2 linked regions of the Medicago truncatula genome follow. The protein of the gene in region 2 interacts with the protein of the main gene of each other region in a pairwise test. Links are inferred from orthologs where the notes say so. Each region holds a gene or a part of one and is shown on either strand. Other genes may lie near its edges.

The links.
Region 1: the proteins of homeobox protein ATH1 (region 2) and homeobox protein SBH1 interact in binary tests that used the Arabidopsis thaliana proteins (3 or more experiments, as listed by UniProt). The link is inferred for Medicago truncatula from reciprocal best matches to the Arabidopsis thaliana genes ATH1 and STM.

Annotation. Positions count from the first base shown.
Region 1 is NC_053043.1:8,828,560-8,836,361, reverse strand, and holds the start of homeobox protein SBH1, read left to right. Parts: upstream 1-4,755; 5' UTR 4,756-5,566; coding exon 5,567-5,983; intron 5,984-6,267; coding exon 6,268-6,523; intron 6,524-7,802. UniProt on the Arabidopsis thaliana protein: Required for shoot apical meristem (SAM) formation during embryogenesis. Negatively regulates ASYMMETRIC LEAVES1 (AS1) and ASYMMETRIC LEAVES2 (AS2 or LBD6). Probably binds to the DNA sequence 5'-TGAC-3'. Binds to RNA.
Region 2 is NC_053042.1:4,466,516-4,473,751, forward strand, and holds the start of homeobox protein ATH1, read left to right. Parts: upstream 1-4,220; 5' UTR 4,221-4,358; exon of another isoform or gene 4,359-4,568; intron 4,569-4,895; 5' UTR 4,896-5,012; exon of another isoform or gene 5,013-5,040; intron 5,041-5,171; 5' UTR 5,172-5,192; coding exon 5,193-6,185; intron 6,186-6,784; coding exon 6,785-7,140; intron 7,141-7,236. UniProt on the Arabidopsis thaliana protein: Transcription factor which may be involved in the signal transduction pathway downstream of the COP1 gene. Controls floral competency as a specific activator of FLC expression. Is responsive of the nuclear import of SHOOT MERISTEMLESS (STM).

The DNA.
Region 1 (7,802 bases), on a different chromosome or scaffold from region 2:
CCTACATTACGAATTCATCAATCTTCATCATACCGAGAAAACATAAATTCAACATTCAAACTCTTCAATCAAAATCTCATTTTCCATTTCCTCTTGTTTAAACTCTTCTTATTTGAACACACTTTTTCTTAATTCTCAATTCTCCCCCTTCTTTCAATTCCATATCCAGGGACATAACATAATAAAACAAAGGGGAAAAAACCTCAATCAAGAAAAATATGAAGGATGTTGAGAAGAAACCCAAAACTCAAATCTTCTCATTCTAAGTGCAATTTTAATTTCGTCAATGTGAATTAGAACACAAGCCCAGAACAATCAAAACTGCTACTATGATAGAGTTTGTTGTGGCTGGAAAAACTTTGCAATGTTTCAAATTAGCATCTTTTAAAAAACCGTGTCTCAAAAAATTGCTCTAATGATTTTTTAGTCGCTAATTTGTTGTGGGATTGTGTTGCTGGAAAGAAAAAAAATGTAATCGGTGTGTGGTTTAATGGGTTGTTGTTGTGTGGTTTAATTTGAAATTTTGAAGGTTTCTGCAGAATTTAATTCAAGTTATGTGTTGTTATTGTTTGATGATTTTGGGTGATGATGAATCGATAGAAGGAAATAGAATAAGAACCAACACAAGGATCCATAAAGGTTTTACTACACTAAAGGGATGCGATTTTGGGGTAGATCCGGAGATTTTAGGGTTTGAGTATGATTTAGATTTGGAATTGAGTATGTATTGGATCCGGCGAAGAAGAAGATTTTGATGGAAATGAAAATGAGATTTTGATTAAAGAGTTTGAATGTTTAATTTATGTTAATGGGCATGATGAAGATTGATGAATGTTGATGATGGTGAGGTTGAAGATGATGAAGAAGAAGAAGGAAGAAGATGAAGAAAGAAAAGCAAGATTTTTAATTTGAAATTTGTTAATTCGTGTTTTTGAATTTCGTCCCCTGGAAATTTTCATTTTTGGATTTAGTCCCTCTAAACTTGTCAATTGTGACACATAAGCCTCACTTGCCATGTCACGCATCGTCACATCGGTCGCCGTTTGATATATCAACGTTTTTGTAACTTATGATGACGACAAGACCAAAAACAAAACATTTGAAACTTACCGGGTATTTTTAGAATCAAAAAGTTACAAAAACAGAAACAAAAAACACGCCAACTTACAGGAACAATTTACATATTATAAAAATGGTTAATTAAGTTTTTAGTCCTTGTAAATATTCACAGTTTTATTTTTAGGAACAAAATGTTGATGAAATTTTTTTACAGGGACTAAAAATAATGATGAAAAGTTCTTATAGGGACTAAAAATGCTGATGGAGAATTTTATAGCGATTAAAAAGTATGATTTTATTTTGTAGGGAAAAACAATTAATTAACCCTTCTAAAAATCTGAATTATTATTATTCTAAAATTGACAGCAACTCAAATTTTCAATGCTGTACGAAAGAGAACAAAAAAAATGAAGAGTATAAACCGGATGGGAGGGGGGACAATGGGATGCGACAATAAGTACGTAACCTGATGGAGCTGCTTTTATACGGTATTTTTACGGGAAGTGATGCTAAGTCTATGCCTTTATTGTGGACGATGAGGAAGGATATATAGATATCTATGGTGCTAGTGCTACAAATAGATTAGCAAGTCATCAAAGAAAAAAAGAGGAAGAGACATTCGGACTGTCCCACATACTTTACAGCTTTATTAACTTAGCTACAGCACTAGCTTTTTCTGCAGTAAATTATCTCGAATTACTACTGATTATATGCATGCTAGCTAACATAGCAACGTCATATTGGGTTCAATTTAGTAAAAGATAAAACTTTGTTGAGTTAATTAATAATTCACAAAATTAAAGTAGAAAGTTAATCATCTTTGGTAGCCCTTGGCTTTCTGATAGTTGGAGATTTTTTCTGTTCAATCGGCTGATGTTTGCTTGCATGTTTTTCAATTTGGTGGTTTGTTTAGTTGTAGTATTTGTTTACGAAGGATATACTCATCATTGCTTGTATGTGATTTTGTTGGATGTTTTATTGGAAGAAGTGTAACTCGTAGGTTTGCTGTAACAAAGAGTTGAATTTAGATGTTACAAGATCGTATTAAACTTTTCTCTTGGTGTATTTTTTGTTCTATTTTTAGAGGGTTATAATTGATTTTGGAGGTATAGAATTGATTCTGATATGTTTGGTTGTTGTTGATTATAATTGACCATGTCTCCATAATTGATTATATTTGAGATATGATTTGTAACTTTTGAATCTATAATTGATTTTAATATACAAATTTATAATTCAACTCACTTTTACATGAACGTATCCAAACATAAATTACATTTTTAAAAAAAATTACTTTTAATTAAAATCAATTCTACAAAATTGATTATATCAAAATCAATTTTTTCCACAACGCAACCAAATATACGTTTGGTGGTGGTTGAAATCTCAAGAACCACATATTTTTTTACATTTCCATTCGTGATGGAATAATCCATTAGTCTGTATTGATTATGCCACCATATAATGTTGTGTCTCAAAAACTTGTAGTTATGATATTATGTGTGGGGTGACATCGATTTAAACAAATCACGATATCACTTAAATTAACACATCAACACATCTAATAAAATTAATTAACAAAGAAACATTTTGATTGACGTAAGACAATTTAGGGGAATAATTTTATGTTTCATAAATTTAGTGTTCAAAATAACAATTACATTTTCAAGACAAAAATGTGATTTAATCATTAATTACTATTGTTCAAAAGAAACAAACTATATATCTTATAGTTTCTTGTATACTAAAATGAGTTAATTTTTAATCTCGAGCAAGAAGAAAACAAAGAGAGTGAGTATAATGACGACTAGTGTTGTATTTTCATAAAATTAAATGTACTCGTTCTAAAGTAATTAACCTTTCTAAAACAAAAATTTGTCACGAAATAATTGATCTTTTCAATTTTCAACATAGCATTAATATTTTTTCCAATCGTATCTCTAATATTACTTGTATCATTGTCAATCAATATTTTTTTTTTTTGACAAAAATTCAATATATTTTATAGTTACACAAATGTCAACTTGTGCCTTTTTTAAGTTAAATTAATCCATCTAAATTAATATTGGAGATAATCGAATCTGAGACCTCGAGCATGAGCACACTTCAAAATCCTAACTCAACATCACTAGACTAGGGATCTAGTGATGGCAAAGCGGACCAACCAACTTAAACCCGCAAAAAGCAGGAAGAAACGGGTTGAATCAATTTAGGTGGCCGAGTTCAAAATTTCATCCCCCGCTTTATGGCGGGTTGACGGGCCGTCAAAGAAAAAACGTGATTTTTAATGCAATTTTTAACAGTTTTATTGTTATGAAAAAATATGTTGTGGTTATTTATAAAATAAAATTGGGAGCAAATCAATTTGTGCTAAAACACAAGCTTACGAGACAAAATTGGATTATAATGAGTTATTTGGTCACTTCATTTTAAATTATGTCTAACTCGTCGATAAAATAAAAAATTAAAAAATTTCAAGTTGACGAGTTGGTGGGTTGGCCCGCCCCGTCCCTATCCCATCCCATCCCATTTTTTCAACGAATTAAGCAAGACGAGCCTATTAGAAGTGGTGAGTTCAAAACTCCAGCTTAGCTCTCCAAAAAAAGCAAGCTAAATGAGCCGGCCCGATAATTAGGTTTGTTTTGCCACCTTTACTCCAAGCCAATCCAAGTTGGTTAATTAACTTATGCCCTTAAGGCGCATGTTAAAGAACTTATTATAAATATATACATTTTTTTAAGAATCGAAACATACATTTTTAAAGTTGTATATTCATCTTTTTAAAAGTCAAAATATTATATTTTTTAATATAAATTAAAGTTACTCTCGTTGAGTTTTTAACATGTGCGTTGGGTTGCAAAAGGACATCTTAATGAGTGGCTTCTAGCAAAACTTATATATATATATATATATATATATATATATATATATATATATATATATATATATATATATATATTAATTGAACAAAATCCTTATTTTTTTTTCTTTAGGTGCGTTTAACATTTAGGCCATCTCCAACAAGGGATCTCTCTCCTTTTTAAGACCAGATATTTATTAAGTAATTTCATCGAGTAAAAGTTATTGAATTAATAGGAACAAAGTCTCAATGTAGATGTTAAATTTTTAGTGAGATGATTTTTTTATTTTTAATATTTTATTTTTGAAATGCAATGATATAGAGTCATTGGTAGATAATTAATGTGTTCCGTGTTTAGCTGGAGGGATTGACTGCTTATTAGATATTATTATTAAAAAATTATAAATGAGTGATGCAGACATATAAAATTATTCTAAGTATCTAAAAATGATTGTTTCCATTTTGATTTTATTATACAATGAGAAATGGTAACTAGTGTTTGGGGCCGTGATTAAGAAAACCAATATGGTATATAGTACAATAAAAATTGTATAACCTTTCATTTGGTCTTTGTAATTAGGTTTTGTTAAAGAGTGCTGTCGGGGCACTCATGAAGGATTTTAAAAGAAAAAAATTATTTTACATAAAAGTTAAATATTTTGATTTCTAATACATTGATTATACATATTTTTATAAAAAATTATCATTTAAAGGTATTAAAGAGTACCTCGGAGGCATTTGTTAATATTTTGCTTGTGATTATAAAAGATTAAATTGTACTTGTATAATAAATACTAATAAAATAAGAATTGATCTAAGAAAAAAGAATAGAGTGAGTGAGGTGAGGGAGATAGAGAGAAGGATTGATTCCGTGCCCTATGAAATGAACCTATCTTCCCCAATATATTCATCATCATCAGCATAGTAGTAGTAGGTAACTTGTTTTCTCCTCCTCGATTTGATCGTTCCTAGCTCACTATTTATTACTACCTCTCTCCAAAACAAAAGAAAAGAAAAGAAAAAAAAACTTGCTTGTTCTCTTGTCTCTCACTCCACTGCTTTTGTATGGCAGGGGTATCAGTGGCAGTGCAGAAAAAGGAAGGTAGAGTTTTCATTGGGAAGGTAAAACCTTTTTTTGGCACCAATGCTTCACACTAACCCTTCTTCTGTAACTCAACCTTCATCTCTCTCTCTACATATCCCGCGTGCACTCTACTGCTTTCTCACTCCTTCATAAAAAACCTTGTATTATCCACTAGCTAGAGAGACAAAGAGAGATTCATTTCTTCATTAAATGCTGAAAATGTGTGGAAAGAGAGATTAACACTCATTTTCCAAAGGAAATCTGTGCAGGCTTTTGCCAGTAGTAGAATCCAAAAAACCTCTTCACTACTTCTTCATGTAACTGACTGTAACTATACAACATAGCCACCACAAAACACTATCACTATTTATGTTTTTCTGTAAAAAAGCCTGTTACTTTTTTACCATAAAACCCGGGCGGGTGACCCTTGTGTGAAACAAAAACATCTTCAATATTAATATCATTCAAGTGAGAGAAAGAAAAATCTGACCTAGAAGGCAAAAAGGGTAATAAAAAGGAAGTGTTATTGTGGCTAAGTGAGTGAGTGAGTGAGTATTAATTCAATGGAGGGTAGTTCTAATGGAAGTTGTTCTTATGTGATGGGTGCTTTTGGAGAAAACAGTGGTGGGCTATGTCCTCCAATGATGATGATGCCTTTAGTCACTTCATCTCATCATAATGCTCATCATCCAATAAATTCCAATAACAACAATACTAATGCAAACAACACAACCGGTCTTTTCCTTCCTATCCCTAATTCCACTAACAATAATAACAATCACTACACCAACTGTAATAACAACACCTCTTCTATCATGCTTCAAAATAACCATCAAAACACTCCTGGTTTAGGTTACTATTTCATGGACAACATCAACAACCATGGAAGCTCTTCTTCCTCTTCTTCTTCTGTCAAATCCAAGATCATGGCTCATCCTCACTATCACCGTCTCTTGGAAGCCTACATCAACTGTCAAAAGGTCAGAAAAAAAAAGAAGATAATTATTTTGAAAACGATGTGTGTGTAATTAATTTCTTTGTACTTTTTTTGTTTGACAAGTTTGGATCTGATGAGCTGTGTTGTATAATTGTACTTTGAAACTGTGGCCTTTTGTTTTCATTTCCATTTATTACTAATATTGACAAACTATCATGTATATTATTGTAAGTCAAAACCCTTTTAAGCATATGTGATAAAGACACTTCATCTCATGACTATTTTTTTCATAAATTTTTTACTTCATGAAAATTATTGTGTTTTTAGGTTGGAGCACCAAGTGAAGTGGTGGCAAGGTTAGAAGAAGCATGTGCAACTGCAGTGAGAATGGGTGGAGATGCAGTTGGATCAGGTTGTTTAGGTGAAGATCCAGCTCTAGATCAGTTCATGGAAGCTTACTGTGAGATGCTTATCAAGTATGAGCAAGAACTTTCCAAACCCTTAAAGGAAGCTATGCTTTTTCTTCAAAGGATTGAAGTCCAGTTCAAAAATCTTACAGTTTCTTCATCTTCAGATAATATTGGTGATAATAACCTCTCTCTCTCTCTCTCTCCAGAAAATACTATTCAGATTTTAAATCATAATCTTGATTGCTTGATATTTGTTGTTGTTTACATATGCATCCATGCATGCCTGTGTTTGGAAGAGTTTGTTAATTTTGTTAGTATGTAAAAGTGTTTGATTATTATTAATTAATTAATTAAATTGAAGTTTATGACAAGATCTACTTTTTTTTTTCTAGCTTTTCTTATAAAAAAAATTCTTAATTAGTCTTTTTCAATAGTATTTTATATTGCTAGCTTGTACTCTTTTTAATCTTCTTTGCCTAAATAAGTGAGTTCCTAATACTTGCTACCAAAGGTGCCCTTAACTCATGCGTTTTTTGTCTAAAAATAAAGGTAGATGGTGATGTATAGTAGTACATATATATTTCATTGGTGTTGGTGCATTGAAGGAACTTAACTATATAGGTATCTTGTTAAATTCGTCTTTTCTTGTGTGTGTGCTTGATAGTATTGTTTTTATGGGAACTATAAGACTTGCATCATCACACATATAGCTTTTTCTTAAAATTTCCCTTTTGATGAGGTCACAGAAACTCTCAGATTTCACTGGCTTTTGTAGTGTTCTTAATATATTAACATTATTAAAGAATCTACTTTGTAATGAATCCAAAAATTGGAGGACTTCGGAACAGGAAGATTGGTGGGTGAATTTAGGTTTTGTAAATAATAACCAATGAATTAGGGTTTCTTCTGCACTTGTTCCCAGAAGTGGTAATTGCGAGGTATATACTCACAAGTTTCTTTCCTAATTGGAGTGCAAAATGCAGATAGTAGAGTAGCTCCAAAGAGCTGAAGTACTTTCCTGGGGACAAGTGCAAAGTGGATTTTAGATTTATGATATGGATCAATTAACATGGAAAAAAATCTTGCAAAGTTGATTGGATTTGATTAATGACCTAAAAAAGAGATTAAGCTATGATGTGTTAGTAGGTCCTTAAGAATAATGATGAATTTGATTGATTTGTTCTCTTGCTTCTTTTTCTCATTTGTCTCATCAAGGTTCCGTGTAAACACTACTCCCTATAGATGGAATATTTTATTAATTTGTATTATTTCATATAGCTAGTGTGATTATATGTGTTGTCATCATTATGTATATTTTTGTGTCTGCAGGTATAGATGCATATTATAATGCTTGTTAAAATTATGTTTGTTTTTTGATATTATATTTGATAAAAAACTTGGTTACTTGTCTTTAACTAAAAATGGATATACATTGTCCTACATGCATTTTTC
Region 2 (7,236 bases):
CTAAGGGTATATTTTAGTCGACAAAAGCAAAGGATCATCATGCAATTAGACTAAATAGAGGTAAATGATGCTACTATGAAGGTAAAAATCATTTAAAGTCAAAATTTGAAAACCAGCTAGTTTTTAATATGATTCAAATTTTAGATACAAAATCATTTCTACCACAATATTTTAAAAAGTTAAAATCAATTCAACACTTCTAATATCAATTTTGATATCTCAAAAAAGTGGAACCAAACGAGCATTTAAAAGTGTGCATCTAAATGCCACCTTAGATTGATGTCGGAATGTGAAAAATAGCTTCAAAAGATAAATATCCATTGAGGAAAAAAAAGTTACTGATAAAAACTCATAATCATCAAGAAGCTCTTTCGCATTTTGAGATTGTGTGCGAGTAAAAAAAAATTAACAACACATTTTTTAACATACTCATTTTTACCAGTTATAATACATGTAAGCTTCACCAAATTAAACGTGACTCTAATGCATTTTAATCAATAAGAGAGACCGTATTACAAAATGTGAAAGAGTTTTCTCTTAGCACCCCTAGAAATATTTTGAGATTTTGTGTAAGCTTGATTAAGACTTACCAACAATTATTAATTGATGTTCCAAACAGGTTATAGGTTACAACTAAAACTTAGGCTAAGGTCCACAAAACAGAAACGGCTTTGTCGTTTATGAGCATAGGGTTTGAAACATGTTCAGAGTTAGTGCCCTGTGTCTTCTAAAATGTTTTAAAGGGCCCATACTTTTCCTTGTCTTGTTCTACATAGCATGACTTCATTATCATCCAACCAGTTAACTTGACCAAAACACCCGAAAACGTTTGCTTTAGAGGGAAAACAATAATTTCCCTCAATCTTTCTGAAAAAGGAGTGAACCTGTTCTGTAACCAAAATTATGATGAAATGTTTATACATACACATGTGGTTTCATTTTTTTTTTTTTGACTAAATCATGTGGTTTCATTTATTGTTTATCTATAAAATCTTCTTTTCCACTGTATGAACAGTGGTATAGATTTCATTTTTAACGAAATACAATGGTATAGAAAATTGTCACACAAAACAACAAGTAGAAAGTAAATCATTATTCTTAAAGGGCTTCCATCATTCACAAAAAAATATAATACAAATTAATCATTGATATTTTCATACCTTCAAATTGTGTTTGTAATTCATCAAACCAGTGGTGGTGAGGTCTCATGCAAATATTGTTCATGATATGCACATGTGTGAAAGAGTTTTGGAGAAATAATAGTCAAAATTTTACTGAAGTTGTATCTAAATGTAAAAGATTAACTTAAAAGATGAGTTAATTTTGTTGTTTATAAATATTAATACACACTTTAAGGGTGATTATCATAACACAAATTTATTTATACTTCTTTTTATTTTTTTATAAGGTTGATATATGCTTTCTCAGACTTTTTTTTAGCTTAATACAAGAATAGAAATTTTCATACACGAGTAAATTAGCATCTATGTTGTAATGAATCAATTTTATTTTATTTTTGAAGAAATTGTAATGAATCAAATTATCAACGACTAATTTAAATATTGTAAGTGACAAATAGAGTGTGTAAAATTGATTTTTACTAGAGGGAAAAGGTACAAATAGTAGTTTTGATTCCAAAATGAAGCGGATGAACATACCAAGATTCAGGGGCGATTGCTTTCTTACTAAAGGGGTAGCTATGGCTAACCCAAAGAAGAAGAAGAAAATTATTGAAAGAATAAGTATATTTTTATATTAAGCTAGGAACCAGAGGATGAACACAGAAAAGTTCTACATTCTTTGATTGACAATGAAAATATGACCGCAGCAACAACATCAATGTCTTCCTCCCAAAACAAAAACCTATCGCTATTGGCCTGAACTGATTTAACGGCACTTTGTTATTGTCAAAACAAACCCTTTATTAACGCATCACTTTTTTTTATAGCTAAAAAATAACTAACTAGTAAATTATAACCTTTTATAATCTGTTCTTATTACTTTAAGTGTGTCTTTTGAAATATATTTTATATGAGTAATAGCTATTGTGATTATTATTATTGTAACCACCTCATAAAATTATTATTGTTCGCTGCTGCCAAGATTAACATTTGCAACTGGGTGGTTAACAACTTTCCAATCAATTAAAATCACGTTTGAAGCCGATGAGCTCACCTTGGTTGCTTTTAAGGTTGTGTTTGGTAAGGACGAGAAGCTTGTTTAAGGAGTGTAATGGTTCAATTTGGATCGGTTTTCAATCAAAAAAATGTCCAAACCAATGAAATCTTTATTTGTTCGCTTTGTACTCTTTTCTAAAAAGGAACCGAACCAAACTAATCGGTTTGATTCGGTTTGGATCAGTTCGGTTGATCAGTTTATTTGAAAATACAATTAAAAAATTTCATATTCTCACAAACTTATATTTCATGCATACAACATACATCATATTAAAATATTTTACGGAACTTTGTGTTTTTTTCATGTTCTCTATTTTTCAAACATCTATTTATAATTAACCTTACTCAATATTTCATGCATCCACGACTTCAAAATAAATATTTCATATATCCAAAATCCATTCATCCATCATTCATCAAAATCAAATATTTCAATCATCCATGATCCACACATACATCATTCATCAACTCACAAAAATTCCAAATCATAAGTGAATGGATTATGACATTGTCGAATAAAAGGAGGACTTGATAATGTCATTAATAAAGTGAAGATGGGAGAAAGTGAATTGATCAAGGAGTATTTTATGTTGGACTTTTAATTTTGGGTCTAATTATGTTTGTGTGTGTGTGTGTGTGTGTGTGTGAGGAATAATATTAGTAAAATGGGAAGTGGAGTTAACATCGGTTTGGTTTATCAGTTTCTTGGATCTCAAAATGAAAAAATGAGAATCGAACCAAACAAGATATGTTTAGATTAGTCCGGTTCGGTTTTGAACCGAACCAGACAATGTCGAATACTTTTTCGATTTGGTCTGATTTAAACTTTTGGTTTCGTCGGTTTTGTCCAAACCGCTTACATTTATAGCTTATTGGATTAGTTTTGAGTTTGTTGGATCAAAACATAACGTATTTGGTAATAAGTTTTTCTCATGAGCTTATAACTTTTTGTGAGATTATATTTTAGGTAGTTTTTAAGCTTATAGCTTTTATTAATCTCTTTCAATTTTAACCCTATTAATTTAGTTTTATTATTTTTTAATAATAAAAACTACCCATTTTAGTAAAAAAAATGTAACTACCCGTTTTTATATTTTGTTGAAACCAGCATGCAGCACGTTACGACGCCCGTTTTTAATAATAATAAGTATTGTGATTTATATCTTAAAAAATTAGGGTTTCCTTTGACAAAAAAAAAAAAAGGGTTAGGGTTTCCCAATTCAATCTTAATTTTATTGATAAATATTTCATTAACAAAATTATAAATCAAATAATTGATTAATTTTATTTTAAACTAAGATCGAATAACTTTAGTTTTGAGAGAGGTAACTTTGGATCTATCAACATAGCAACAAACATTCATATAAATATTTTTAAAATGAATTTGATAGAAATAGGTTAACGATGCATATGTTTTATGACTTAAAACATTATGTACATATTTTTATGATCATAAATAACTAATTTGAAATTAGGAAAACTAAAATGATTAACCTATACAAACATTAAATTTAAAAATCTTATGACATTTGTTAAATAAAACATGAAACTTTTTTTTGAGTAATAAAAATATGAAACTCTGAAGTAGTATGTGTTGATATGAAATGAAAGTGCATTGTTCCCTCCCGCCGAATAAATACTGAACACATGATTTGCTGCATTAAAATTGCAGAACTATGGAGATGATGAGATGACCATTCATATATAAAATTGCGTCATTTTATATATCCCTTACATCACACACTTTAATCACCCTCTTCTTACTATTACTACCCCCCAAAAGCAACAAAAAAAGTACACACCTATACTTCAATATTTCATTACATAGAACCCTATACGTTACTATAGGCCATGATGACACAACACAACATAACAGTGTCAAAATCTTCACATCACACGCCATACATTTGCCTAATGTTTTGTTTTTGCACTTTATTTGCAACATTTTCTTTACCTTATCACAGTATCATGTAACTCTTGTTTCTACTCAAGTTACCAACTTGTTTTAAATTTTGCTAAAAAAGCTAAAATGTTTCTTTCTGTATGCACCTGCTATGCTATGAACAGAGAGAGAGTGAAATATAGCAGTGATTCAGATAAATGATCAGAGAGAGAGTGAAAAGATGGGCCCTCTAAAGCCTGAAACAGAAATGAGTGGCACTGCACCAAACACTATACACTGTATCAATGCCTCTCTCTCTCTTTCCTTGTTTTATTTCTTTGTGGTTTTTCTACCTTCTTCTATCTCATTCATCTCTATCTTTGCATTTACATACATAGGTGCATAAACTAGCCCCCCCCCCCTCTCTCTCTCTCTCTAGGTTTTTTTTTACATTTTTTCTACACTATAGTTTGCAGTTTGCACTCTTCAATGCTTTTGTTATTCTTGAGGTGATTTTTTTTTATATGGTATAATGTAAAGTTTTTTGAGCTTTTTTGTGTGTATTGGATTAGAGAAATGAATGGTATGCACTATGCAATAAATCTTGATGGGATCTGTGAAAATTAAAAAATGTGCTTTTGGAGTTTGGGATACTTGAATTAAAAATATTGTTAATGTTCATGCATATTGGACCAATGCATGCTTTTGATATTCACCCTTTTCAGCATATTTCTGGTTTTGTTCTTTACATTGTTAAACTTTTAAGACCAAATTTAATGATACTCTAATCACATTGCTTATCTTTTTGTTTTTCATGTTTCTTTGTTGTTTTCTAGGTTCTCATAGGACAAGGCAACTACAAATCCTGCAAAGAAGTTGTCAAAAATGTTTGAATTTTTGAAGATTTTGACAGATATATGTAAAGTTTCATATGGTGGCTCTGTTTGATTTATGTAAGGTTCCTATGCTTATTAAGACAAGGTTGGTTCATTTGTTTTTGCTTACAAACATTTTTTTTTAACTGTAGCCTTATCTTAAAATTGTTCTTGTTATCAAATAAGTAAGTAGTCAAAAATCATTTTTCTAAGTCTATTTTATTTTCTTCTTTGTAGCATTTTCTAATTGTTTTCTAAATGGAGAATGATGTGTACACTGCTCAAATGAACATGGAAGATATCACACAACATCTAACACAAAAGCCACTCATTCATTACTATTCATTTGACCTTAACAACCAAAACAACATCATAAATGGAATTCCAATACTTTCTGGTGGAGAACAAGATCAACATGTTGATGGTAGTTTCATGAATCAAGTTACCATAGCTGATAATTCATTTGTTACATCACAACAAGGAAGGACTATTGTGGAAAATCCCTCAAATCTCATTGTTAATAACAATGACTTTTCGGTTCCGGCTAGAATCGGTCTTCAAGAAAATTTAGAAGCAATAGTTCCATACATATTCAATAATTGGCATGATACTTCAAACTCAAACCCTTTGTGTGCAACTTTTGGTGATAATAATAGCTATGTTAACAAGTTTTTGAAAGCTCAAGAGAGTAATGTTGGAACCGAATTCATGTCATATTCGCCGATAGGGAACATTGATCCAAATGGATGGCAATCATCAAATGTTGCTAACTTAACGAATCTCGCTTATAGTTCCTCGAATTGTAGCAATGAGCTTTCACTAAGTCTTGCAACATCTCCAACTTCAGTTCAATGCTCAGAGATTAGTTGTTCTGACTTAACTCATAGCATGAATGGAACAAGATCAGGTTTGGAACAAGCCTCATGTAGTAGTATGGAACTTTCTATGAGTTTAGGGAATGATAAACATGTCAAGTTTTCGCCCGCAATATTAGGATCAAGATACCTTGCTGTAATTCAGGAAATACTTGTTCAAATTGCAACATTTTCATTTGAAAATCTTGATGAGATAAACTATTCCGGTTCTGGTGTTAGAGGCCGAGGAAATAAATCAACTTCGTCAAACACAACCAAGCGAAGGATAGGAATAAATCGCGACGAGAGTCCTATGTCAGAAGCTTATGCTGATTCTTCATTGCAAAGGCATGCTGTTGAATCAAAGCAATCTCAACTCTTGATGCTTCTACAGATGGTACATTGCTAACCACTTAGATTACATTACATTCATTTGGTTTTCGTAAAACCGTTTATGGTCCTGATTGCGTTAGTATATGTCTGCTGGTTTCACTCTTGAACATGGAAAAAATTGATTTCTGATGTGTAGAACGGATTTTGACATCTTTGGATGTTTTCTAGTAGAGTTGGTACTTAGAGCTAGAATTTTGAGCTTTTGCCTCTACAATTGATTTTTAGCCTTGAATTTATTGCTCAATCAACTTTTACATGAGAATCTATCGAAACATAAAATCAAATTACATGCAACACCCTCTTAGGCAGAAAATCAAAATTAATTTTTGTAATTGTAGAAGCAAACCTAGATGCAAAATTGTTCACTTTTCCAAATAAAATTTATCGATGGTTAAAAGTTGTTATACTAGTTCAGGACAAAACTTTGAAAAGCAAATTGTGTGATGTTGAATGGTACTCTATGAACAGTTGTTATTTGAACATCAAAATACCTACATTCCAAAGTTACACACAAGGGTCAAAAGAAATTTTGATTATCAAAAATTATTTCTCTATATGAAAGTTTTGTTCGAGAATGCTGATAGTAGTCTTTATTTTACTCAGGTGGACAGTCAATATAGTCAATGTTTGGATGAGATTCACACTGTCGTATCTGCATTTCATGCTGCTACTGAGCTCGATCCACAAATACACGCGCACTTTGCTGTCAAAACGGTTTCTCGACTATATAAGGACTTGAGAGAGAGGATTAGCAAACATATTCTTTCCATGGGATCAAATTTTAACAGTTCATGGTCAGAAGAGGATAAGGAATTATCTGTTGAAACTTCATTCATTCAAAAGCAATGGGCTCTTCAACAGTTGAAAAGGAAAGATCAGTTATGGAGGCCCCAAAGGGGCTTGCCAGAAAGATCTGTTTCCGTTCTACGTGATTGGATGTTTCAGAATTTCCTCCATCCGTAAGTATTATCTATAATCAAACATATGCTGCCACATTGCATCCCCAATTTCGGCTGCATCAGCTGCATTTTGCTACAATATCAATGATTGTGACG